7 linked regions of the Nothobranchius furzeri genome follow. The protein of the gene in region 1 purifies or fractionates together with the protein of each later gene. This does not show direct contact. Links are inferred from orthologs where the notes say so. Each region holds a gene or a part of one and is shown in the gene's direction. Other genes may lie near its edges. The genes, in order: snrpe, snrpa, sf3a1, eapp, sf3b1, ddx46 and prkrip1.

Region 1 (4,190 bases):
ATCTTCTGGTTGCCACTGGTCCTGGTGGTTTTCTTCCAGTTCGACGAGTTTTCTTTTGGAAGGCTGGCTGACTCCAGTTAAAAACCGCCACATTTCACCGCTAGTTTTAACACGAAGCTAACGGCTAACTTGATAAACTGATTGAATGGGATAGGTGGAAATGACGTTGGATGCGGCGTTCACGTTTCGCGTACGTTTGTGTACGTTGCATGCAGGCGGGAGGAGGATCAGAAATCCATGGAAGATGACTGATAAACATAACTAATTTGGTGCAAACATTTACTCGCCAGGTGGCAGGTAGAGCTCAAAAATTTACTCGCCAAATGGAGCAATTTGCTCGCATTTGGCGAGTGGCGAGTGTTAATTTCAGACCCTGAGTAGACGGCTGTTTTCAGTAGGGAGGAGAGACTGCTACCACCAAAACAGCTCTCCTAATGTCTGAAAGAAGCTCCTTCATGAAGGGAGAAACGCTCCCGGTGATGTTCTACATCTGCGGTAGAGACGGAGCAGCGCATCTGACCCCGGAAGTTGTTGTCCGTTGCCGGGAGACGAAGGCGGGCAAAACAGGAAAGGAATCTAGTAGCGGACGGACGTTGTTCCGGGTCTTCGGTATTTGGCGGAGATGTTAGTGAAGGCGAACTAGAGGAAACACAGGCAGATTCCTCCTCTACTTACTAACTCCTGGGGATGCAACAAGTGGGCGCGGTGCGTCGACTACCGGATCTGACGTTGGCGTCATCGAAGCTTTGCTACAGCTCTGGTTTTCAGTCACTCAGGAAGGTGCATTTGTGTGTATTTTCTCCAGCAGACTAACCTTCATGGTGATGAGCTAGTATTGTTTTTATGGGATGTCTGAAACTGAACACCGAGCTGAGAACCTGGTCGTGCGGACGTGACGGTCCTACCGGGCGGTGTACGACCATAACTGATGTGATCTTAAACACGGCCAGGTTGATGGGCCTTGTAGAGATAATCCCACTACGAGTTAAAGAGTTGTGACCAGGTGAAGTGCTGCTCTGCTTCAGTCTGAGTCTCTGCTTATGTTTCAGGGCTTTGATGAATACATGAACCTGGTTCTAGATGACTCTGAAGAAATCCACATGAAGACCAAGAACAGAAAGCCACTGGGTAAGAGTGCATGCTGACTAGGGCTAAACTGATTTAAGAGAAGGTTGAATTATGACTTCAGTTTGATTCTCCATTTTCTTCACATCAAACAGGCAGTTCTCCTGCATTACTTAACCTAAGCAGGTGCCTGATGGTTTCTTCTCACAAAAGCAGCGCTAGAACACCAAACTCACACATTTGACATGTTTCTTTGGGAAAAAGATCAAAGGCTGGAGAAGATTTGCAGCCGGGTATTGAGAAAAATATTCCACCATCATTGAATAAGAAAATCCCGTAAAACACTCTAAAAAGGTGGAAGGACTGACTCGAGCTCCTGATTAGCAAGGAAAGACAACAACAGCTTCAGAAAACAAACAAGCAGCAGGAGGAATGTAAGGAGCTCTAATCAGGCAACTTGGTGCTGACAAGAAGAAGTCAGGCTCTGAGGAAACGTTGGAAAACCAACTTTTGGAGGCAACCCCTCTGGAAGTGAAGAGGTAGAAGCACCTCTAAACAAGGAGAATGACGTGCTTTCACCAGGGAAAAGGCTCCCAAAGCTCCAGTAGGGCTTCAGGAAACATGAAGCTTTTACACAGCCATGGTCGTCAGACTCTGATGATGAAGCTGAAGAGATTTTGTTAGGAAGTATATCATCGTTTTGTCTAAGTGTGTGTGGGGAAAAATGCCAACAACGTTAGGAAAAATCAGTTAAATCAAATAAAAATAAAATGTTCTAGTATCTCATATTTCCTAGTTCCTACTGCATGAGTTCAGATGCATTAGTTCATGCACTTAAACATTAATGTTCTGATTTTACTGAACAACGTGTTCTGTAATAGTTCCTTTACTATTGTGATCAAACATATTTAATCTCAGTTCTGAGGCTGCTCTGTAAATAGTTTTCAAATAAACAATACACACATATCAACTTCTGATCAATCCATATCAATTTCAGATGTAAAATAATGTATTGATGTAAACCACACCCACTCATTTCCTAATAATAAATAAGGTGCATTCATCTGTGTATCTGATCCACATTAGTGATGTTTTCAGCACCAGAACAATGAAGCAAAGAAACAGATTCCTGAGTTTATGTTAGTAATTTTATTTATTAGGTGCATCTGACCTGTTCTAGTTTTCTCTGAAATGAGATCAGACCAGTACTTCTATGGGTCGTCTCCTCTCTGCACTGGAAACATGTACTTTATTATAATGTTCACTGTAATGCATCTTGATGTTCTTAACAATAAATTAAATCAAAGATATTGGTCAATAATGCTAAATATGTACATTTGTGTTTCAGTCATTTTTATACTGGCTTAAAAATACTTCATTAAGTCTACTAAGCAGGGGTGTAGAAGGTGTTTAACAGGGCCAGCCCACCAATGGTCTTGGACCAAAATAAAGGGGGGCAGAAGGAGATGTTTTTCCAGACGCCAAGTAAAATTAAATGCCCCCCCCCCCTGCAAAGTGTGTCACTGAGAGTTTAAAACAGAAATTATTCTTGTGCAAATGTTGGTGTATTCACCTTTAATACTAGTTATTAAAATGCAGCAGTCGCTGGATTGGTGCAGTTCAGAGTGGAGGGCATCAAATAAAACAATATTAACATGAAGGTGAGACGTGTCATAACCCCCCACCCCCCCCCCCCCCCCCACACACACACACAGCTGGAAATAATCCTACTGCATCATCAACGTAACATGATTTACAGAATACATGTGACTTAACATTTCGCATTCTACCACCGGATGTTTGGATCAGAATATGAACCAATCAGATCTTAGATCAGGTGAGAGCCAGGCGTTTCCGTCCTCTAGGTTTTGCAGCTGATGGAGACCAACTGCAGCGCCTTGCTTCAAAATCTGCAGCCGCCTTGATCTCACGAGGTTATCGCTGCCTACGTAGGCATGACGTCAGAGCAAGTCGGCGTCAAATCGGACAACCGGCAAGCACTGCTCGCTGATCACCGGTGATCTAATCTGCGCAGAACTGGCTCATCTCGAACAAGACCAATGTAACACATGTGACAGCCCCATCTAGTGGACAACTTTGGTCTCTGCACACACCTGTAGTTATCGTCCATTTATCGTTATCGAGGTGAAATCCTCAATGTATCGTGATATTAATTTTAGGCCATATCACCAGCCCTATTGTGTGTGTGTGTGTGTGTGTGTGTATGAGGAACACCCTCTGTAAAGCTGCTCCTGCTGGGTCCAGCAGGGCGGCCCGTTGAGCGGCTTGCTGCCACCCTGTGATTGTACTGAGGCTCTAGAATTCCTGGTGTTGGGGATTCCATGTTGATTTGTGTAAACGGACACTTTGTCTCTCGTTTTGTGAACTGACCTGTCTGCTTCTGCGTCTGTTTGTGTCTCAGGGAGGATCATGTTGAAGGGAGACAACATCACCCTGCTGCAGAGTGTGTCCAACTAGAGACGTGGAGATGCCAGTGACTCTTTTTTTTTTTTTTTCCGAGCAAATGTTTTTCCATTTTGGGGCTATTTGGGTTCTAATTACATGGATATTTTAATTGTTCCTCAACCATATTGAACAGTTTTGAAAATAAAGTGTTTTCTTTCAGTTTGTGTTGCTGTCTAAGTGTAAGAAGGTCTCTGAGCGACACTTCCAGCTGGTGACGGTGTGACGGAGCACTGCTCCACGTACACAGGTGCACATGTTAGTAAATGAATAAATGAAGCAGAACTCGGGCTCGTAGCTGAAGGCAGACTCGGTGAAGGGAGTTGTTTCAGCGGGATGACGTAATACCTCAGTACGTACGCAGCGTGCCCCTGTTCAGTTGACTGGGAAACCCCGAGCGCGAAGCTGCCAACGCCCGGCGGAGCAACTCACCTAAGTCCCACGGTAGGTTCGTTAATTTTGTCTGGTTTGTGCGGGTTTAACGTGACGGTGTTCGTGGTTTGGTCTGGCGCGTGTCTCATGTTTGTGTTCTGTATGAGCAACTGGGATGGATTCCCTCATTCAGCCATGACATCCGTTAGGAGTGGCTGAGCCATTTTAGCCCGCCAGCTAATGGAGGAGGATGGTATATTTAGCCTGCAGCTCACAGCGGCAGCATTATC
Region 2 (3,939 bases), on another chromosome or scaffold:
ACAAAAGCAGTAGGTAATGGTTAAGTACCTAGTAGGTACAGATTAGTACCTTCTAAGTTGGGAGAAGGCTTCACTTTCCATCATCTTGCGATGGACGGATGCCGACAATGGACAAAAAAGTGACAGACGTGTGAAGTCAAGATGAAACAGTGATGTTAAATCACTGTGATGTTGCAAATTATCTGCATTGTTCATGAAGTTTACAAAAAAAAAAAGTCCACAGGCACTACATTCATTTGGGATTTGTTCCTTAATGCGTTCAAAGATTAGTCCCTGAATAAAACTGTTGGGTTTTCACCAGTATGTATTGGTTAACTACCTATTCTTCCCTGCTTCATTACTCATTACTCCCTAAGTCGTTCCCTAGTTACGAAGCATAATTTTACGTACCTTATTGTAAAGTTACTGTTATTCTTCTTAGGTTGTCTACTCTGCCTTTTTTTGACGTCATGTTTTTCCAGTATTTCTGATTTACTGTTCAATTCAATTCAAAAATACTTTATTAATCCCAGGGGGAAACTGATTGCTGTAGTATCTCAGAATAATAATAATAATCAAGTCATCAAAGAGTTATTGTATATTACAATGGCTGTTGGCAGGAAGGATCTCCAGTAGTGTTGCAGCGAAACTGAAGAAGCCTCTGACTGAAGACACTCTTCCGTTGTCGGACAGTCTTGTGAAGAGAATGCTCACGGTTGTCCATAATTTTCTTGATTCTCTGGAGAATCCTTCTTTGCATTATCTCCTCCAGTGGTTCAGAAAGTGCCGAAACTCTGACTGAGTCCTTGAAAGGGCTTGGAGTTCCTCCATCTTGTTGGCCAGTGATCTCACATTGCCCATTATGATCGATGGGAGAGATGGTTTGAATTTCCTCTTTCTCTGTCTCCGTTTTGCTCCCGCTCTGCACCCACGCTTCTTGCGTTTTAGTTAATTTGGGATTTGTCGCGTCAGTTGAGGTATTATTTCAGCCTTTTCAATGTTAAACAGCTGCTCCCGATTGTAAACCAGCTTGTTGCCATGGTTACGCATCATAACAAATGCTCAAAAAGTGAAAAAACCTAAACAATAGCAGCAAAAGTCCTCCAAGCTTCACAGCACCAGAAACAGAAAAGTAAAGTGTCCAAAAAAATACCGTTTTTCTTGAGAAACTAGAAGAAAAAATGTCCAAGAAAAGGCTAAACTTACATATAGTTAACAGAGCTACTCCAACATGCAGCCACCCAGAGCAGCGTAAATAAGAAGAAAAACCATTTTAGTTTTAGCCATTGTAAGTTAAATGGTGTTTTGAGTTTCGCTATTTTGATTTACACCGTGTGGTGGCGGTAATTCACCAGAACGGTTTGGTAACCAACAAATAAGACAAAGAAGAAGAATTTCTTCCTCTTGTTTTCTGGGGAAAAAAGTCTCGGAGCTTTCATTCAATTTCAGGTTGGTACTACGTCAACATCTAACGCGTTTTACATGGTTAAGTGCATTTTAACTGTTGATTTAAAATATTTTTGACAAGCTTAAACGATTTGAGGTAACGTTGGAACTAGTAGAAGTATTTAGGCAGATTAATGACGCTAAATGCTGTTAGTTAGCTTTTAGCTAACACGCTGTTGTTGCCTTCCGCCATGTTTGTTACCATTGCGTTTAGATGCTGGATTTTTGAATGAAATTGGACTTGAAACTGCGTGAAAATAAGCACATGTTTGAGTCTTTATTTTATTTTTAGCTATTTTATTTATTCTCCTAGCCTTAAACATGACCACTCCAGCAGAGGTGCGCCCCAATCACACGATCTACATCAACAACCTAAACGAGAAGATAAAGAAAGATGGTGAGTTTCGCATCATTTTCTTTCCTTTTCTTTGTTTATTTCACGCACAATTAATGCAAAGTCTCCTTTATTATTGTTATTGATTATTTGTTGTTTGTGTGTCTCCCTCAGAGCTGAAGAAGTCCCTTTATGCCATCTTCTCTCAGTTTGGGCAAATTTTGGACATTTTGGTCGCACGAAACCTGAAGATGAAGGGTCAGGCGTTCGTTATCTTTAAAGAGATTAACAGCGCTTCTAATGCATTAAGGTCCATGCAGGGTTTTCCTTTCTATGATAAACCTATGGTACGTCTATTAAACATGTTTAATAATGCACAATTTAGACATTTCTGATGGAAGTACACGTGTGACTCAAATATATACTTTCTTGCAGCGAATCCAGTACTCTAAAATGGATTCGGATATTATAGCTAAGATGAAGGGGACTTTTGTGGAGCGTGACCGTAAAAAAGAAAAGAAGAAGCCCAAACCTGAATCTACAGGAAGTAAAAAAAATGCTGCAGCGATTGCTGGGGTACCTTCTGCAATCCCAGTGAGTGCACTAGGTGTTTTTTACAATCATGGTTAAACAATCTAGATATTTGTTAGTGAAGTAACGGCAGGTTTTAGATGCATTAAGAGTTAAAAGCTCAATTAACATGAATAGAAACTAAACGTTTGTCATTCTTTAGGGAATGCCACCAATGAACCAGGCTCCTCGCATGATGCACATTCCAGGCCAGCCACCTTACATGCCCCCTCCTGGAATGATGCCTCCTCCTGGGATGGCTCCAGGCCAGATTCCTCCTGGTGGGATTGCTCCTGGTCAGATGATGCCAGGACAGATGCCTCAGCAGGTAGCTTGTGTTCTTTTTCCTCACAGAACGTTTTGTTTCCTGTCCTGGTAGTTTAATCCTTACTCTCTTCCCACAGGTTTCAGAAAATCCACCCAACCACATTCTCTTTCTCACCAACCTGCCAGAGGAGACGAACGAACTCATGCTGTCCATGCTCTTCAACCAGTCAGTACTCATTTTCTAGTCATACATTTAAACAGATGCGTAAAAATGGATCAACTTTGACTGTTTTGTGATGCTAACATTGCAAATAATCTGAGAATTTAATTCTCTCAAACTGTTTTTTCTGTAATTGTAACTGAGCTGCTCTGTGCGTTAAAGGTTTCCCGGCTTCAAAGAGGTGCGTCTTGTTCCTGGTCGTCACGACATCGCCTTTGTGGAGTTTGAAAACGAGGTGCAGGCTGGCGCGGCACGAGATGCTCTGCAGGGCTTTAAGATCACTCAGACGAACGCCATGAAGATTTCTTTTGCCAAGAAATAACGCATCTTCCACCAGGTCCTGATTTAATTTGCATACATGTCCGTACATGTAAGTATCTGAGTCAAGTTGCTGTTAAGAAAGTTGGAGTGAAAAACTGGGAGCTCTAACTTTGTGCAATGGTTTGGCTTTAATCTGTAATGCTTGCGCAACTTGGTGTCCACTTCTCTGTTTTTCTGTTTCATAGTTTAAATTTTTTATTATAAACTGTTAAAGCATTGCACCCAGTGTCTGGTCCACCAGACATTGTACCTGGAGCTATTCTTTTTTTTTTATCTTGATTAAAATTTGAATTGGTAAAACACTAGACTGTTCTTTCTTTCGCTGTGTGTGTGTGTGTGTGTGTGTGTGTGTGTGTGTGTGTGTGTGTGTGTGTGTGTGTGTGTGTGTGTGTGTGTGTGTGTGTGTGTGTGTGTGTGTGTGTGTGTGTGTGTGTGTGTGTGTGTGTGTGTGTGTGTGTGTGTGTGTGTGTGTGTGTGTGTGAACAGGTTTGAGCATAAAGGATAACTCAACATTTCCTGTCTGAAATGTCAAAGAAAGGAATTGAGTTTAGAGTTGCATTTGCTTAATCAAGCCAAGCCAACTTTGTTTATAAAGCACTTTAAAAACAGCCCTCGCTGACCAAAGTGCTGAACATAAAAACATAAAAGCATAAAATAGAATACAGTGTAAGGTTAAAAGCACACTAAAATAAAACACAAATCAAATAGAAATCCAAAACGTGTTGAAAGCCAAGCTAAAAAGGTGGGTCTTTAAAGATGATTTAAAAGTTTCCAGTGAGGAGGCCTTTCTAAGATGTGCCGG
Region 3 (3,500 bases), on another chromosome or scaffold:
GCATTGCTGTGATTTTAATGTGGATGTTTGTATGAAATTCCATTGAAATTGCAAATTCACTTCCTGGGGGTTGTATGTTTCAGGTATCAATCGGTTTTCACAGGCAGACCTAACCATGCCGCCTGGGCCTGTTCAGATAGTTCAGCCGGAGCCCAACAACAAGGTAATGCTACAAGTTAGCACAAGCTAACTGCCAAGCTAGCAAGACTTACAGTTTCGTTAAACTATTGAACCAAAAATATAGAGTTTCGATATTTTTGCTATGTAGCATCTGGACTTTTTTAATGTGTTGAATAATACAATTACACTTTTAACTATTCTACATATACGACCATATCCAGAGTACCCTAAAGCCGCATAACTCGAGACCCAAGGACTCGGACGTTAACTTTTCTCTCCAGAATGATCCACTCCACATTGAATTATGTCGAAGCAAATAACATTTATTCATCGTATTATATTTTAATGTTGTTTAAAAGCAACATATTGGAGATAGAGATCGCTTACTTCAAAGACAAACATTAGGATCCATACCTGATAACATAAAATCAAAAAGGCCTGAAAAGGAAAAACTGCTTTTAAATAAGTTTTATGACCGATTTTTTAGGCATTTCCCATTCTAAACGGATATTTTTTTCAACACTAATAAACATGTTTTCCTTTTTCCTACATGTTTATTTCATTCTTTGTTTTGATTGACATTTGCTGGTGTTAGATGTATTTATTTTTATTTAATTATTAATGTCTTTATTTTTTATTTTTAGCTTTTTTGGGTGGGTTTACACAGATGTTTCTATTTAACCAATAGTTCAGCTTTTTTCCCTGATTGGTTGCTAGATAGTCATTAAATTTTAAGCACTCAAGTCAGTGACAGACTGTGACAAGTCAATGATTGTTAATGTGTAATTCTTCATAATCTAAAATCACTCGTAGTTATGATCCTAAATATAAATTGCATTGTGTCTTTATCTTTTGATATGTCAACTATCTTGTCAGCCAAACGATGCACCTGCAGAAGAAACCCCGGCCACTAAGCCCATTGTTGGCATCATATACCCTCCTCCTGAGGTCCGGAATATAGTGGACAAGACAGCCAGCTTTGTTGCCAGGTTAGTTACAGTATACGTGTCACCGATCTGCAGTGAGAATTTCCCCAAGTATTTGTTTCCATTACACTCTTGTCTTTTGCTTGTTTTTCTTTTTCAGGAATGGGCCTGAGTTCGAAGCAAGAATCCGTCAGAATGAGATCAACAATCCAAAGTTTAATTTCCTCAACCCCAACGATCCATACCATGCCTATTACCGTCATAAGGTTACTGAATTTAAAGAGGGCAAAGCACAAGAACCATCTGCAGCTGTGCCTAAGGTTATGCAGCAGCAGGCTTTGCAGCAGTCCCAGCAGCTCCCACAGAAAGTAAGACGTTTATCCTCTGTTTTTACAGTTTATATATATATTATATTATATTTTATATATATATATATATATATATATATATATATATATATATATATATATATATATATATATATATATATATATATATATATATAATTTTATTTATTTTTTTTTTTTTTTTCTCCCAAAAATGACTTATGCTGTGTTTGTTAGGTGCAGTCACAGGTGATTCAGGAGACTGTGATCCCCAAAGAACCACCTCCTGAGTTCGAGTTCATTGCAGATCCTCCATCAATCTCTGCATTTGATCTGGATGTTGTCAAGCTCACTGCCCAGTTTGTTGCTCGCAATGGCCGACAGTTTCTCACCCAGCTCATGCAGAAAGAGCAGAGGAACTACCAGTTTGACTTTCTACGGCCACAGCACAGCCTTTTTAACTACTTTACCAAACTGGTTGAGCAGTACACAAAGGTGAGTTAGCAGATTATATCTTTCAGTTTATTGGTGTTATTTTTATGTTTAGGACACTTGGCTGTATCTTAATATTTTTCTTATATGTATCTAGATATTGATCCCTCCCAAAGGCTTACTGACTAAGCTTAAGAAGGAGGCTGAGAACCCAAAAGAAGTGATGGACCAGGTAATTTCTTTCAGCAGTATTTGCCAAAAGAAGCAATTTTGTATCCCCCCCCCCCCCCCCCCCCTGATTATTTGTTTTTGTGTACAAACATCAGGTGAGATACCGTGTTGAGTGGGCAAAGTACCAGGAGCGTGAGAGGAAAAAGGAAGAGGAGGAACGGGAGAAAGAACGAGTAGCATATGCCCAGATTGACTGGCATGACTTTGTAGTGGTAGAGACTGTGGATTTCCAGCCTAATGAACAAGGTAACACCTCCGTAGGCACAAACATCAAAGCCCCTAAAAGCAACTAGAATCGTTTAACTTTGTCTATTTGTTCCCACAGGTCACTTCCCCCCACCTACTAATCCTGAAGAGCTTGGTGCTCGCATCTTGATCCAAGAGCGTTACGAGAAGTATGGAGAAAGTGAGGAGGTGGAGATGGAGGTTGAGAGCGAGGACGAAGATGATGAACGTGAGGGTCGGGCTGACGGTCAACCCTCACAACCTGATCAAGACACTCAAGTGCAGGACATGGATGAGGTTAGAACTGATTAACCACATTGTACTTCAGTAATCCATACAGCTAATTCATAAGTTGGAGAACAAAAGTTAAGGAAACAACGATGAACAATTCTTTTTATTGCTGTTCCTTCAGGGTTCTGATGATGAAGATGAAGGTAGGAAAGCTCCGCTCCCACCTGAAAAACCTATGCCTCCTCCCTTACCTCCAACTCCAGACCAAGTTATTATTCGCAAGGATTATGACCCCAAAGGTAACCTCCTTTTTTAGCTGAAAAAAAAAAGTATTATGACAAGATGCTACTTTATATACAATAAACTCATAATGTTTCTCTCTCTCACAGCTTCCAAGCCTCCACCCTCAATTGCAGTTCCTGATGAATACCTGATTTCACCAATTACTGGTGAGAAGATTCCAGCCAGCAAGATGCAGGAGCACATGCATATTGGTCTGCTTGACCCGCGCTGGCTGGAACAAAGAGATCGGAGCATCAGAGAGAGGCAGACAGAAGATGAGGTCTATGCTCCAGGTCTTGACATTGAAAGCAGCTTGAAACAGCTCGCTGAGAGGCGTACTGATATCTTTGGTGTGGAAGAGACGGCCATCGGTAAGAAGATAGGTGAAGAGGAAATTCAGAAGCCAGAGGAGAAGGTGAGAAATGTTTGCAGCTCAGTCTTTTATCTAAAAAAACAAACAAAAAACTACATTAAAGTTGGCTTTTGCACACTTAATACATTTTTGTGCTCCTCTACTTTCATCAGGTTACTTGGGACGGCCACTCTGGAAGCATGGCTCGTACACAGCAGGCTGCACAGGCTAACATCACTTTGCAGGAGCAAATTGAAGCTATTCACAAAGCCAAAGGGCTGGTGGGAGAAGATGACACTAAGGAGAAAATTGGTCCTAGCAAGCCAAGTGAAATTCACCAACCACCTCCTATACCTTCCTCTGTTGCAAGTTTGC
Region 4 (3,953 bases), on another chromosome or scaffold:
CTTTTGAGACTTCTTCTTTTGTTTCATATATACATACATACATACATACATACATATATATATATATATATATATATATATATATATATATATGTATATATATATGTATATATATATATATATATATATATATATATATGTATATATATATATATATATATATATATATATATATATATATATATATGTATATATATATAAATATATATAAATATATATATATATATATATATACATATATATATATATATATATATATATATATATATATATGTATATATATGTATGTATGTATGTATGTATGTATGTACATTTATATATTTATATATATATATATATAAATATATATATATGTATATATATATATATATACATACATTTATATATTTATATATATATATATGTATATGTATAAATATGTACATACACACATATATACATATATATGTATGTATATATGTATTTATATATGTATATATATATATATATATAAACGAAAAACACTTTAAATCTTTTAATGTTTTTATGATCTTGGACACAGATACATTTATTACATATGTTTTCGGAAGGTTGCAGGTTCGAGTCCCGCTCAGTCTGTCGCTGTCATTGTGTTCTTGGGCAAGACACTTAACCCACGTTGCCTGCTGGTGGTGGTGGGAGGGACTGGTGGCGCCAGTGCTCGGCAGCCTCGCCTCTGTCAGTGCGCCTCAGGGCAGCTGTGGCTACATCGTAGCTCTTCCCCACCAGTGTGTGAATGTGTGTGTGAATGACTGATTGTGTTGTAAAGCGCCTTGAGGGGTTCCATGACTCTAGAAGGCGCTATATCAAATACAGGCCATTTACCATTGATAACATCACAAATATATTTCAACACAGATGTAATTTTTCATAAATATTCTATAATTTTACATGTGTATTATCACAAATATATTTCACAGCTTAGTGGTTCTTCATCACAATTATAATTAAATTTAAAGTGGTAATTGTGAAAAATTATTTACGTAATAATTAGTGTTATTATGCAGATTTCGCATACATTTCTATTTTTGTATTCGCACTGAGCAGGAATCGAACCCACGCAGTTCGACTCCCGGACAAAACAGTTTAAAAAAAAACTGCCTCAACCCTCCAGTCCACTAGAGGGCGCTAGGGTAGTTTGGAGTTGGTTTTCCACCAAGTGGAAAGGTGACATAGAACTAGTCGTTTTCTGTCACTACGTAGAAGTAATTATGTTCCCATAGTTAAACTTTCAGCCGTCAGAATGAACATGCTGAATAAATCACAGGACTTTGACTCATATGAAGTCGAAGAGCCAAGTGACGAGGAGCGGGCAGCGAGCAGGTAGGGATCAAATAAACTACGGTTTCTAACATTAGCATCGTGGCTAGCATCTCCGGTGTTCTACATGAACTAGACATCAGCTCAAATGGTGTGTGGTGGATGCATCGGACATAGGTGGCTCATCAAAGCCTGATCAAAACTATGCGAATGTAAACAAACTGTTCATAAACGTAATTGATGTTGGTATAAACGCGAGTAAAGCATGTTGCCTTCTATCTTATGTGACATCTGTTTGTGAGCAATCGTTCTAAAATAAAAAAGAGGGTCAAAATGATCACAACTGAAACAGCGTTGAGGCGCGTTAAGGTGAGGTTGGTGTTTTAAATTAACTGGTGATTCGTCCCTTTACTGGTTCAAACAGCCTGTTTATTATGATCCATGGAAATGAACATGGATTTAAGCTGCTTGGTTTGAACCCACACGGGCTTTTAGAAACTCGTTTTCTTGGGTTAATTTACGACAAAACTAGAACGAGAGTTTTGTACATCTTGTTAAAAAAATAATAGAGCAGACTTGTACACTGTGGTCCAGATGAAACTCAACACAACTTTTATACAGTATTATTAAAACACTGTCGACGAGAAGAGATGCTAGTACATACTCAGTCCGCTAACAGATTCACTCTCTCAGAAGAACTCAAGACCTTATCCCACTGAATCCAAGACCCCAAGGCCACAATGCCCCGAGCATTATCTGGTTGTTCTGCTCTGGTGTTTCTGTTTTATGTGACCTGGACTCATAGAGTTACTTGGCTGAAATATTTTCCCGTTGCATGTGATGTCATACTACTCACTGGAACACCTCTTTCTTCGTGGTGGAAGTGAAGGGAACAGTTTGTCCAAAAGAAGCTAGTTTGTAGCCTTATATTGTGCTTAGTTTGTTGGTATTGCTGTAAGGTGGTTATCGCTACTAACAGACGAGCTTATAAACTCAACTTGTTTTTATTTTAAATAACTTTGATGGGAACGGAAGATGGAGACGGACAGCAGCTGTCAATCACTTGTGTAGTAATAGTTAAAATAAGGGATGCAGCACCAGTGCTGCTCATTTGTTTTGTCGGGTAGATTTTCAGTCATCTCTAGGGATGTAAGACAATATCGATATGGCAATATATTGTGATATTTTTTCCAGCAATATTACATCGATATTCAAAAGCCGTGTATCTAATTCTTGAAAGAATTTACATGCAAACATTTGTGTATTTTCTTTTCGTTTTGTGCAATTTAATCGCCGCCCGCTAGTTTGCAGCAGTGTGCAACAGGTTTTGTTTCCACCATTGAAATGTAAATCCCTCCATCATGGTTCAGATACCTCATGTTAAACATGTTACGTATCAGTTTGGACTGTTAAACATTCTTACAATAAATTCAGTAAAAAAAATTGCTTGTAACGTCTGACTGAATGTATCGCAATATATCTTGATATATCGTATCGTCTCCCCTGTATCGTGATATGTATCGTATCGCCAGAATTTCAAAAGTACACATCCCTGGTCATCTCAGACCAAACATTTGAGGTTTTTTATTTTCTTCTTGTGGTTGTGTTTCAGTTCAGAGGATGAGCTGGATGTGCTTCTGAACGGGACAGCAGAGCAGAAGAAGAAGCTGATCAGAGAGTATCTGACGGGGGAGAGCGAGTCGTCCAGTGAGGATGACTTTGAAAAGGAAATGGAGACGGAGCTCAGCTCCACCATCAGGAACATGGAGGGAACCTGGGCACCAGCAGCTAGTAGGACACCAACAAATGTTATTATAACTAGTTTAGTTGGACCAAGGAAATTGTGTCCTGTTTTGGACGTGGCAACTAATGATTGTGTGTGATTAAATAATCATTGTGGCCCTCCGCGACTGCTATGAAATCATTCCTGAGAGTTTAAGTGGTGGTGATGAAGTTTCTCTTTGTTCAGACAGCGGTGGTGAAGGAGCAGGTGCCGGTGGCGTAGGAGGTTCCAGTGTTCCCAATCCACCGATGTATGACGAAGTTTACTTTGATTCTGACTCAGAGGACGAGGACACACCAAGTACGACGTCACTTTACACGACTTCATCTTCACTTTGATTTTGGTTAATTTCACCTGTTTGTTACAGGCAGCTCTACCAGCTGGAAGCGGAGACAGCGTGTAGTTCCTACCAATGATGAGCTGTTGTATGACCCAGACGAGGATGACAGGGACCAGGCTTGGGTAGACGCCAGACGGTAGTTCTGTAAAACACTGCCACTAGTACTTTTTTTGTCTTCTTGTAGGCCGTTTACCCATTTCTGTTCCTGTTCAGGTATAACAGCAGAAAACAACCAAATGCAGCCTCCCGGTCCAAATCCGGCCAACCTCGGTGTTTACCCAACAGTGATGCTGTTCTCAACTGTCCCGCCTGCATGACGACGCTCTGCCTGGACTGTCAGAGGTCAGGCACAACTATCCTGCTGTGTGTTCTTGTTGATTGTGTCAGCTAGCATGAACCAAAAACAAAGTTGTATGGCAATATCACAACGGGTTGCACTAATGTTCCCTAGGGTGCACGACACATCACAGATGGGTCCATATCATTTACAGTGTCACGCATGTATCAGAGCACAAAGGGAACAATGGAGTTTCATCATTTTAGCTGCGTGTT
Region 5 (3,353 bases), on another chromosome or scaffold:
GGCTTATCCAAACGCAAGAAGCTGTTAGCGAAAATGCTAACAGTAGCTTTACCAACGTTAAGCTCAAGTTACCAAGTTTAAATAAACCAAAAACACCCAGCGGCAAACAGACCAGCATGGAGGAGAGACTGCTACCACCAAAACAGCTCTCCTAATGTCTGAAAGACGCTCCTTTATGAAGGGAGAAACGCTCCCGGTGATTTTCTACATCTGCGGTAGACACGAAGCAGCGCATCTGACCCCGGAAGTTGTTGTCCGTTGCCGTGAAACGAAGGCGGGCAAAACAGGAAAGGAATCTAGTAGCAGACGGACATTGTTCCGGGTCTTCAGTATTTGGTGGAGATGTTAGTGAAGGCGAAGAAGAGGGCGAGCTAGAGGAAAAACAGGCAGATTCCTCCTCTATTTACAAACTCCTGGGGATGCAACAAGTGGGTGTGGTGCGTCGACTACCGGATCTGACGCTTCAGCTCTAGTGGAGGTCAGAGCAAACATCTGAAAGGTGACGCTTGTTTTGGGTCAAACATGTCCATTTCTCTAGAGAAAGTTTAGCTCAGGAACTCGCACCACCACCGAGTGGTGCTGTAGCGGGTCCTCTTTCTGGAGGAAAAACTACATTTCAGCCGTAGAGTCTACAGACGTAGAGGAGGCAGCAGTGAGATTTTATTTTTCTACATGTTTATCATCTTATTACATTTGGGTTTTAGAGTCCTGTTTGATTCTGTTAGACGTGCTCTTTTAGGAACATTACTCTTTTCTCATACCGGGTACTGATCATTGAGTTCTTTTGATTATCAGGTCTGGTGGATGAGCAGCAGAAGGTGAGGACCATCAGTGCTTTGGCCATAGCTGCCCTGGCTGAAGCTGCTACACCCTACGGTATCGAGTCCTTTGACTCGGTGCTGAAGCCTCTGTGGAAGGGTATCCGGCAGCACAGAGGAAAGGTAAGAAGCTCACTCAGGAGAGTATCAAAAGTCCTCTGCAAGATCAACACCCAGCACTGAGTCTGCTCGTGGCTGCAGTGTGAATACTTGCTTGCTAAATCATCTCCCAGTAGGAGCTGCTGCTCCCAGTTTAGGTCCAGTAGAAGACCCCTCACAACTGGGAGCAGCAGACAAAAAAATCCAACGTTAATATTTACAAACAAGAACTTGTGAACAAGTTCAGAGTGTAAACTGCTTGTTTGGTCATCAGGGTCTGGCTGCTTTCCTCAAAGCTATCGGGTACCTGATCCCACTGATGGATGCTGAGTATGCCAACTACTACACAAGGGAGGTGATGCTGATCCTTATCAGAGAGTTCCAGTCTCCAGATGAGGAGATGAAGAAGATCGTACTCAAGGTAATGAGCAGTTCTTTATTATTGCCTGTCGAGCTCGTCGCAGGGCTATTGGTCCAGATGAAAAGTGCTGAATGTATTTGTAAAGCACCTTCTTGAGCCCTACTCACCGTGGACAGTCTAAAACTGAAGGATGTCTAAATGCATTTCTAACGATGCTTTGTTGTCTCCTAGGTGGTGAAGCAGTGCTGTGGCACTGATGGTGTGGAAGCTAACTACATCAAGACCGAGATCCTTCCCCCTTTCTTTAAGCACTTCTGGCAGCACAGGATGGCTCTCGACAGACGCAACTATAGACAGGTCAGTGAGTGGTAGTAAACTAGATGTAGTTCGTCTGAGAGCAGATGCCAAAGTTTCTCTGCAGTTTAGCATCGGTAGCATTGGAACTTGTGAAATCATTAGAGCTTTACTTGACCTTTTTTCAGCTGGTGGACACCACTGTGGAGCTGGCTAACAAAGTTGGAGCAGCGGAGATCATCTCTCGCATTGTTGATGACCTGAAGGATGAGGCAGAGCAGTACAGGAAGATGGTGATGGAGACTATTGAAAAGATCATGGGAAACCTGGGTGCAGCTGACATCGACCACAAACTGGAGGAGCAGCTGATTGATGGGATTCTGTACGCTTTCCAGGAACAGACCACAGAGGTAGGACAAAGCGCCGTCGTGGGAAAGTTTTCTTTCCAAACATGAGTAGTTAAATACCTCCATTTCTGTCTGCAGGACTCTGTGATGCTGAATGGTTTTGGTACGGTTGTGAATGCCCTCGGGAAGCGTGTCAAGCCATACCTGCCTCAGATCTGCGGTACAGTCTTGTGGCGTCTCAACAACAAGTCAGCCAAAGTTCGTCAGCAGGCAGCAGACCTCATCTCTCGCACCGCAGTGGTGATGAAGACTTGTCAGGAGGTGGGCTACACTGGACATCAAAGAGCCACATGTGACGTGGCACACAGACTGACCCTTGTTTCTGTTTCTGCAGGAGAAACTCATGGGTCACTTGGGTGTGGTGCTGTACGAGTACCTGGGAGAGGAGTACCCGGAGGTGCTGGGCAGCATCCTGGGAGCTCTGAAGGCCATCGTTAACGTTATTGGTATGTTGGGAATACTTCTGCCATAGCCAGAAGTTCATATTTGGTTCTAGTTTTTGGTTTCTTTTTTTTTTCTTTCATTCAAACCGGTTCATTAGACACAAATTCACGTTAGAGAAATGTGTGTCACTGTTAGCGATGGGTACCGAATTCTGTACTTTTTAAGGTACCAACCGAATTCCATAGTACCGACTGAGCACCGATTCCCGTCATTTGAAACGGTGCCTCGTTTCGGTACCCATCCTTCATAAGAGATGAGATTCCTAGGTACCGGGAATTAGTACCGAATCGATTCAAATGTCAAAGGTACCCATCCCTAGACTCACTGCCTTCCAGCTCAGTGTTTGGTGTTTGGTTGCTGCTGTTTGGGCCGTGGAACATGATGCATTTGCACTGATGTTTTTGCAGGTATGCACAAGATGACTCCCCCAATCAAAGACTTGCTTCCACGTTTGACCCCCATCCTAAAGAACAGACATGAGAAAGTGCAGGAGAACTGCATCGATCTGGTGGGCAGGATCGCCGACAGGTCAGTGGAGTTTCAGGCTTGAGCAGCTGGTCCACCACTGAGTCTCATTGCTTCTTGATTGTTTTTCAAGGGGAGCTGAATATGTGTCAGCCAGGGAGTGGATGAGGATTTGCTTTGAACTGCTGGAGCTACTCAAAGCTCACAAAAAAGCTATTCGCAGAGCCACCGTCAACACGTTTGGTTACATCGCCAAAGCCATTGGGTGAGAACATGAAATTTTGGAGATGCATTTGAGTCCCACAACATGCAATTTAGTCTTCAGGCAAAAGTGTCTGCTAAATGAACAAACATGGCTGATCTTTGGTCCCGTCTCTTTGCAGGCCTCATGACGTGTTGGCCACTCTGCTCAACAACCTGAAGGTTCAGGAGCGTCAGAACAGAGTGTGCACGACTGTGGCCATT
Region 6 (3,500 bases), on another chromosome or scaffold:
ACTTTCCGCACCGCACACCGAGGAAATTTTCTAACCACGCAGACGGTCGGGCGCGGAAAAACATGGCAGACTGGCAAGAACTAGTATGGCAGAGGTTCGTAAATACAGACATTTGTATGATTCAGCTCTCAAAGATCACCGTGATCAACATGTTGTTAATAATTCTTGGAGAGAAATAGCTCGCACTGTCGGATAAGACGAGGACGCTGTTAAAAATGCTGGAATGCCATGTTGTAAACAGTAATTTCTACTTCTACTATGGTGTAGTGTTGGATGCATGCCTAGAGCTCCATGCTGCCCCCTACAGTTTGGGAGAATATTGGCTCACCGCAGAAACGAGCCGCATGAACCATAAACACTGCGAGTTGTGAAGCGCGTTCCATCCGCGAGCCGCATCACCAAGCGGAAAGTGAATGCGTCACGCATAAACCAAGCCTTAGCCGGAGAATGGAAACAGATGAGGAAATGCATGGATTAAAAAAAGCCACACAGATCTTCGTAAAACTATAAACTAGCAATCTTGGACTCAACCATCTTCCCACGCAACGGGGATGGTTGTTGTTGGTTTTTGACACCAGCAGAGAGCAGAGCGTGACTCAGCTAGTAGAAGCTAACTGTTAGCATTAGCAACGCCACAACATGGCAGAATTCCTTCAGGCTTGAGTTATTTGTGCAGATAAAACATCAACATTGCAAATCAAACAGGTTCAGTGCCAGAGTCACGTTGCTGTAAGCCAATCAGAGGTGAGATGTCCAAAAACCGCGAATGAGCTAGACTGCAAATCCTGCCGTTTTTCACCCAGGCATTTATTTATACTAGAGACCGCTGCAAATGTATTGAAAAAAATTTGTGGATGACAGCTTTAACCCCCAGAAACCCAAATTTAGAAAACAACTGCAAAATCTTTTTTTAACCTTTCACATGTTGTTCTAGGAGGCCAAATAAACGGGCCTATTTACACATTTTAACGGCCAATAGTGTTGCAGAACTGAACAATAGGACCTATTAGCAATGTAAATGTGGTTTTAAAAAGAAAAAAAAATGGGGAAGGTTTATTTTTGTAGACTTAAATCTGATGTTGTAATATTACAACCGTGGGTCTCTGGGGGTTAATCAGTAATATTTTAGGATGCAGTGTTTTAACTGATGTAAACATCACAGGATGTTTTCTGTTGTTCCCCCAGGCACAGCTACGAGAAGCCCACACCCATCCAGGCTCAGGCCATCCCTGCCATCATGTCAGGCCGAGACCTCATTGGCATCGCTAAGACTGGAAGTGGCAAAACCATTGCTTTCCTGTTGCCCATGTTCCGACACATCATGGATCAGAGACCGCTGGAGGAGGCAGAGGGACCCATCTGTAAGGATAATTTTATACGTCCTGTATACGTCTTTGTCAGGACTCAAAAGAATGAATGACAAATGTGTTATGATTTTGGTGCTTTAAACTGTTTGATGGCATGTTTCTGCATCTCCACAGCTGTAATCATGACTCCGACCAGAGAGTTGGCGCTGCAGATCACCAAGGAGTGCAAGAAGTTCTCCAAATCACTGGGACTCAGAGTAGTGTGTGTTTACGGAGGCACGGGAATCAGTGAACAGGTAAAAACCCTCATAATGCAGCCGTGTGATGCTTTTTCCAACATGTTGTTGTCTTTTGAGCCCTTTCACTGATACCTTCTTCTCATGCTGGTGGATTGCAGATTGCTGAGCTGAAAAGGGGAGCAGAGATCATCGTCTGCACACCGGGGAGAATGATCGACATGTTGGGAGCGAACAGCGGTGAGTTAATCCACCTCCGTATTCAGACTTCATATTAGGGTTTTCAGATTTATTTGCAGCTTTTTTGTAATAACTGCATGGTTTAAAAGTGACAGTATATGATTCAAATCGGTACCTTGTTACTAAACTGTCGACATTATTTGGCAATTTTTGGTTCTACAAGACAATGATGTTTTCTGAAGATCAGAGCGAGTCCAGGTAGGTGGACCTGGCGCTGCCTCCACAGTTCTTGTGTCTCAACGCTGGGATTAATCAGACTGAAGAACAATTTAGATCAGTTAGGGTCTGTAGTCTGTTTCTTAAATGTAATTAAAATGTGATTTTATTATATTTGACTGCTAATCAGGGGTTCTGTTGTTTCCACACATGCGAGGTAATCTGTAATATGTTTCCCTTGTAGGTGAAGGGGCTCCGTCTCTTGTTTTGTATCTTGAGGCTGTTTTCTGACTTTTATAGGTCCCTCATGTCCCTGAGATGGTACGCAAGAATAAAGACGAGCAAATCCAGGAATTCAAAATGTCAAAAAAATAAACTCCTAAAGAAAACATGGATGCAGTTTTTAAATAATTTCAAGTAGCTTTATCCAGATAACGGACTGTGTTTGCCAGATTATAATGTTGGCTGTTTAGAGAAAAGAGCTTTTCTCATGGTTGATTTATATTCCCGATGCTCCCCTTCCTCAATATGTAGGTCGGGTAACCAACCTGCGCAGGGTTACCTACGTGGTGTTGGATGAAGCAGACAGGATGTTTGATATGGGTTTCGAACCGCAGGTGAGCATCACCCAGATTTAAACTATTTTTCATCCTTGGTTTTAGAGACTAGATGGTTACTTGCATGTATTTTTGGTAAACTCGCAAAAAAAAAAAACCGTATGTCACTTGCAGGTGATGCGTATTGTGGACAACGTGCGTCCCGACCGACAGACGGTCATGTTCTCCGCTACCTTCCCCAGAGCCATGGAGGCGCTGGCTCGCAGGATCCTTTCAAAGCCCATCGAGGTTCAGGTCGGAGGTCGCAGCGTCGTCTGCTCTGACGTGGAACAACACGTGGTACATATTTAATAAACTCCACGTCTAAATCGCCAGAATCATTTTATTCCACCAGCTCATCCTCTGCTGCTTCCCTTTTCCCCCTCCTGTAGCTGGTGATTGAAGAGGATAAGAAGTTCCTGAAACTGTTGGAGATTTTAGGTCACTACCAGGAGAAGGGATCCGTCATCATCTTTGTGGACAAACAGGAGCACGCGGACGGATTACTCAAAGACCTGATGAAAGCCTCGTACCCCTGCATGTCTTTACATGGAGGTACTGAGTCGCGTTAGGATCTGCGTCGATCATCTTACTTAAATCTGGAACAAAGGGGTCAGTGTTTGAGATTTAGTTTCGCTGTCATTTCAGGAATCGACCAGTATGACAGAGACAGCATCATCAATGACTTTAAGAACGGAGCCTGTCGCCTGATGGTGGCCACCTCTGTAGCAGCCAGAGGCCTGGATGTCAAACAGCTGATCCTGGTGGTCAACTACAACTGTCCCAACCACTATGAGGACTACGTACACAGGGCGGGACGTACAGGCAGAGCAGGCAACAAGGTTGGTCTAATTTTTTCTTTTTTGCAGAAGTTATTTTGGAAATATAAAATAAAAATTCTCATGTAGAGGTAGATTTGTGTTTTTTTTTTTTACTTTTAGTTTCTTTGAGTTGCTAGAAATAAA
Region 7 (2,785 bases), on another chromosome or scaffold:
TGTACTCACAAGTGAAGGGAGATGTACTAGTTACTAACAAAACTGGAGGTTATGTTCTCTGAGGTTATTAGAGCCCATTTTGGAATATTTAAAAATATGAATATTATATATTCCCCTCTGAGAGCCTGCTTATATTTTGTCTTCCGCATAACAAACCTTTATTTACCCTCTGAAGCCTAACAGTTGCCTTGCGTTAGAAAAAGTCATTGCATGTAAAGTTGGCAGAACAAGGGCAAAACACACCGACGATGCACATTAAAACTTTAAAGAAGTACCCAGAAAAAAAAAATCTGAATTCAGTTCACAACCGGACAATATAGAGCATGTTCTGTTAGAGTTGTTCAGTTTGTACATTTAGAAGTGCTTACTCGTCGCAAACAGTCCATATCAAAGTTTGTACTTGGGCCAGAGATGAACAGCAAGACATCAGTATTAGCCCTAAAAACCAGAATTGGTGTATATCTGGACATATCTACTCAGTTATGATGCTGAGCAAAAACGCTCCTGAAAAAGTAGAATCATTCATTAATCGCAAATATGAGATTTAAAGCACAATAAATGAGCTGGTTAGAGCCTAGAGTCTGAGATGTGAGTGGTGGTTCACCACACCCCGTGTGTCCTGCTGCATGCCTCTGATAAAAGGATAAACATCTCAGAGGTGTGGTTAGTTTGAATAAGACAGCAACTGACCTGGTAAATGAAAGGCTAAAGCTAACGAGGACACTGATTAAATCGTTAAAGAGGGTATCAGGAGAACCTGTTGCCCCTGTACCGACCTTCTCGTAGGTCCTGGTCCTCCAGAACGTTGTAAGCAGCATAGTTGTCCACTCCGTGCATCCGGAGGATCTGAACCACCGCGTTGCTGAAGCCACACATGGGCTGGGCTGGCGTCCCTTTGATAAACACCACCACTTTGTCCTTCTTCACCATTTCACCAAGGTCCTTCTGGAGGTCCGCCGCCGCGCACAGAAACCTGACCGAGGCCGACCACACGCGTCCATCCGCTTGCCTAGGCACACAGACCGCCGCGCCCGAGCGGAGACACCTGGCAGTAGATCTAATTAAACTGTTCATCTTTTATGAGTTTTGTCGTTCGTCGAGCAAAACTAAAGGCGAGTAAACGGACAAGTTCAGCTCAGAGGCAATAGAGAAAGTCGTCCGTCAACACATACGCTTAGGAGGCGGGATCTGGATGCTGATTGGACAACTGAGCTTGGCTGAAATCGAATATGCTTTACTATTGGTTTATTCAAATGTCAATCAAAAAAACTCAACGTCAGTTGCGCAAATTACTTTCTAAATATTGATTAATGTTTTCATTACAGCCTTACTACGACCTAAATAACTAGTAATTGTTATACTTGTCATACTTTTTTATTTTTTCAAAAATTCCTTTCGAAGTCGTGAAGTACTTCCGGGGTGAGTTGTACGAAACGGAAGCAGCCGAAGAAGAAATTTTCAAAGATGGCGGCCTACACGCAGAAAAATAACAAGCCAGGGAAGCCCGGAGGAAAACCTGGAGGAAAAGAGGCGCAGCCTCTAATAATAGCTAAAACTCCGGCAGATGAACAGCGTTTAAAGTTGGAGCGGTTGATGCGAAACCCCGACAAGCCTGCTCCCATCCCGGACCGAGCCAAGGAGTGGAACCCGCGGGCTCCGCCGGAGTTCGTCCGGGATGTCATGGGCTCCAGCGCCGGCGCAGGCAGCGGGGAGTTCCATGTCTATCGGCACCTCCGCCGCAGAGAGTACCAGAGGCAGGACTTCCTGGATAAAGTTGCCGCGAAGCAAGACAAGGACAAGGAGTACCTCCAAAAAGTGGAGCTAAACAAGAAGGCGGCAGAGGAGCGGACGGCGAAGCGGAGGAACAAGCGGGAAAAGCTGAAGCAGAAGAAACTGTTGGCGAAGAAGGCTAAACAGGAGGAGAAAAACCAGCAGGAGGCAGAGGAGAACTCCGAGAGCAGCGAGGAGGACAAGAAGGAGGAGAAAGAAGAGGAAGAGGGAGATGATGATGCCGAGGTTCCCAGCTTCATCATGGGGAGGAAATGAATCCATCAGCCATGTTTTGTGTGTGAAGCCTCAGAGAAGCAACATCATATATGTCATGTAAAAGGGAAGGGGATGGAGATCTCAGGCATGTTTGGACTCTGACGTTTCTACACAGATCATTAAATCTGTTTGGATTCACTTTGTACAAAGACTTGATGTTTGCATCTAAACTAAACATGTGCTCAGCTTTTCTTTATTTTAAATCCGATTACCATATTTTTAATAAAATAAGAAAAAAAGTTTTGTGCAGAGTTCCATTTTTATTGGGTTTAAAACATTTACTTTGCATGTCTGAGCAGTAAATAAGTGTCTATATTTGGGGGTTTTGCAGCCTTGTCTCTGCTCCTGGTGAAACTCGTCACCTGTGGGCTCCAAAAGGCTGCAGAAAGCAACTCCAGGGATTAAAAGGCATGGCTTCTGGAGGATCTGGAGCTTCATGTGCGATGTTCCTTGGACAGTCTCCTGCTTTCCACGGTGGTGATGACCCTGATCAGTGGCTCTCATCTTTCTTGAGGCAGGTAGAGGAAATCCTGGCAGCCAGATATTGTTTGAACAAGGGAGAGCTTTTCCTGTCAGACACTGTCAGCTGTCACACTGTTACCTGTTTTATTCCATTTTTCTAGTTTGGTTTTGAAGTGAGGCCTTTGCTCTCAAAGGAGAACTTCAAATTTAGGGTGGGCACTCTTCTGCTACCGTAGACCCTATCAAATTATTAGTTATTAGCTCAAGACTAATAGAC

Evidence for each region.
Region 2: the proteins of snrpe (region 1) and snrpa purify together in Homo sapiens (co-immunoprecipitation; 4 studies listed by BioGRID and IntAct, counting the BioPlex papers as one, with this or other methods). This does not show direct contact. The link is inferred for Nothobranchius furzeri from reciprocal best matches to the Homo sapiens genes SNRPE and SNRPA.
Region 3: the proteins of snrpe (region 1) and sf3a1 purify together in Homo sapiens (affinity purification with mass spectrometry; 3 studies listed by BioGRID and IntAct, counting the BioPlex papers as one, with this or other methods). This does not show direct contact. The link is inferred for Nothobranchius furzeri from reciprocal best matches to the Homo sapiens genes SNRPE and SF3A1.
Region 4: the proteins of snrpe (region 1) and eapp purify together in Homo sapiens (affinity purification with mass spectrometry; 3 studies listed by BioGRID and IntAct, counting the BioPlex papers as one, with this or other methods). This does not show direct contact. The link is inferred for Nothobranchius furzeri from reciprocal best matches to the Homo sapiens genes SNRPE and EAPP.
Region 5: the proteins of snrpe (region 1) and sf3b1 purify together in Homo sapiens (co-immunoprecipitation; 4 studies listed by BioGRID and IntAct, counting the BioPlex papers as one, with this or other methods). This does not show direct contact. The link is inferred for Nothobranchius furzeri from reciprocal best matches to the Homo sapiens genes SNRPE and SF3B1.
Region 6: the proteins of snrpe (region 1) and ddx46 purify together in Homo sapiens (co-immunoprecipitation; 3 studies listed by BioGRID and IntAct, counting the BioPlex papers as one, with this or other methods). This does not show direct contact. The link is inferred for Nothobranchius furzeri from reciprocal best matches to the Homo sapiens genes SNRPE and DDX46.
Region 7: the proteins of snrpe (region 1) and prkrip1 purify together in Homo sapiens (co-immunoprecipitation; 3 studies listed by BioGRID and IntAct, counting the BioPlex papers as one, with this or other methods). This does not show direct contact. The link is inferred for Nothobranchius furzeri from reciprocal best matches to the Homo sapiens genes SNRPE and PRKRIP1.

The regions. Positions count from the first base shown.
Region 1 is NC_091743.1:2,213,663-2,217,852, forward strand, and holds the end of snrpe (small nuclear ribonucleoprotein E), read left to right. Parts: intron 1-1,049; coding exon 1,050-1,128; intron 1,129-3,487; coding exon 3,488-3,543; 3' UTR 3,544-3,690; downstream 3,691-4,190. UniProt on the Homo sapiens protein: Plays a role in pre-mRNA splicing as a core component of the spliceosomal U1, U2, U4 and U5 small nuclear ribonucleoproteins (snRNPs), the building blocks of the spliceosome.
Region 2 is NC_091753.1:42,104,708-42,108,646, reverse strand, and holds snrpa (U1 small nuclear ribonucleoprotein A), read left to right. Parts: upstream 1-1,301; 5' UTR 1,302-1,428; intron 1,429-1,738; 5' UTR 1,739-1,746; coding exon 1,747-1,822; intron 1,823-1,933; coding exon 1,934-2,106; intron 2,107-2,194; coding exon 2,195-2,353; intron 2,354-2,492; coding exon 2,493-2,657; intron 2,658-2,733; coding exon 2,734-2,822; intron 2,823-2,978; coding exon 2,979-3,138; 3' UTR 3,139-3,439; downstream 3,440-3,939. UniProt on the Homo sapiens protein: Component of the spliceosomal U1 snRNP, which is essential for recognition of the pre-mRNA 5' splice-site and the subsequent assembly of the spliceosome. U1 snRNP is the first snRNP to interact with pre-mRNA.
Region 3 is NC_091757.1:36,513,764-36,517,263, forward strand, and holds part of sf3a1 (splicing factor 3A subunit 1), read left to right. Parts: intron 1-83; 5' UTR 84-115; coding exon 116-163; intron 164-996; coding exon 997-1,109; intron 1,110-1,206; coding exon 1,207-1,414; intron 1,415-1,609; coding exon 1,610-1,867; intron 1,868-1,961; coding exon 1,962-2,036; intron 2,037-2,130; coding exon 2,131-2,281; intron 2,282-2,360; coding exon 2,361-2,557; intron 2,558-2,672; coding exon 2,673-2,790; intron 2,791-2,880; coding exon 2,881-3,188; intron 3,189-3,298; coding exon 3,299-3,500. UniProt on the Homo sapiens protein: Component of the 17S U2 SnRNP complex of the spliceosome, a large ribonucleoprotein complex that removes introns from transcribed pre-mRNAs.
Region 4 is NC_091758.1:7,754,136-7,758,088, reverse strand, and holds the start of eapp (E2F-associated phosphoprotein), read left to right. Parts: upstream 1-1,153; 5' UTR 1,154-1,261; coding exon 1,262-1,341; intron 1,342-2,890; coding exon 2,891-3,069; intron 3,070-3,247; coding exon 3,248-3,361; intron 3,362-3,428; coding exon 3,429-3,537; intron 3,538-3,614; coding exon 3,615-3,743; intron 3,744-3,953. UniProt on the Homo sapiens protein: May play an important role in the fine-tuning of both major E2F1 activities, the regulation of the cell-cycle and the induction of apoptosis. Promotes S-phase entry, and inhibits p14(ARP) expression.
Region 5 is NC_091754.1:36,033,485-36,036,837, reverse strand, and holds part of sf3b1 (splicing factor 3B subunit 1), read left to right. Parts: intron 1-795; coding exon 796-941; intron 942-1,191; coding exon 1,192-1,338; intron 1,339-1,509; coding exon 1,510-1,635; intron 1,636-1,760; coding exon 1,761-1,982; intron 1,983-2,057; coding exon 2,058-2,240; intron 2,241-2,313; coding exon 2,314-2,425; intron 2,426-2,830; coding exon 2,831-2,951; intron 2,952-3,021; coding exon 3,022-3,153; intron 3,154-3,271; coding exon 3,272-3,353. UniProt on the Homo sapiens protein: Component of the 17S U2 SnRNP complex of the spliceosome, a large ribonucleoprotein complex that removes introns from transcribed pre-mRNAs.
Region 6 is NC_091750.1:60,377,314-60,380,813, forward strand, and holds part of ddx46 (probable ATP-dependent RNA helicase DDX46), read left to right. Parts: intron 1-1,185; coding exon 1,186-1,361; intron 1,362-1,481; coding exon 1,482-1,603; intron 1,604-1,704; coding exon 1,705-1,783; intron 1,784-2,473; coding exon 2,474-2,556; intron 2,557-2,670; coding exon 2,671-2,835; intron 2,836-2,927; coding exon 2,928-3,090; intron 3,091-3,183; coding exon 3,184-3,377; intron 3,378-3,500. UniProt on the Homo sapiens protein: Component of the 17S U2 SnRNP complex of the spliceosome, a large ribonucleoprotein complex that removes introns from transcribed pre-mRNAs.
Region 7 is NC_091742.1:17,911,967-17,914,751, forward strand, and holds prkrip1 (PRKR-interacting protein 1 homolog), read left to right. Parts: upstream 1-1,369; 5' UTR 1,370-1,464; coding exon 1,465-2,046; 3' UTR 2,047-2,285; downstream 2,286-2,785. Other genes in the region: glrx5 (glutaredoxin-related protein 5, mitochondrial), read right to left, coding at 777-1,074.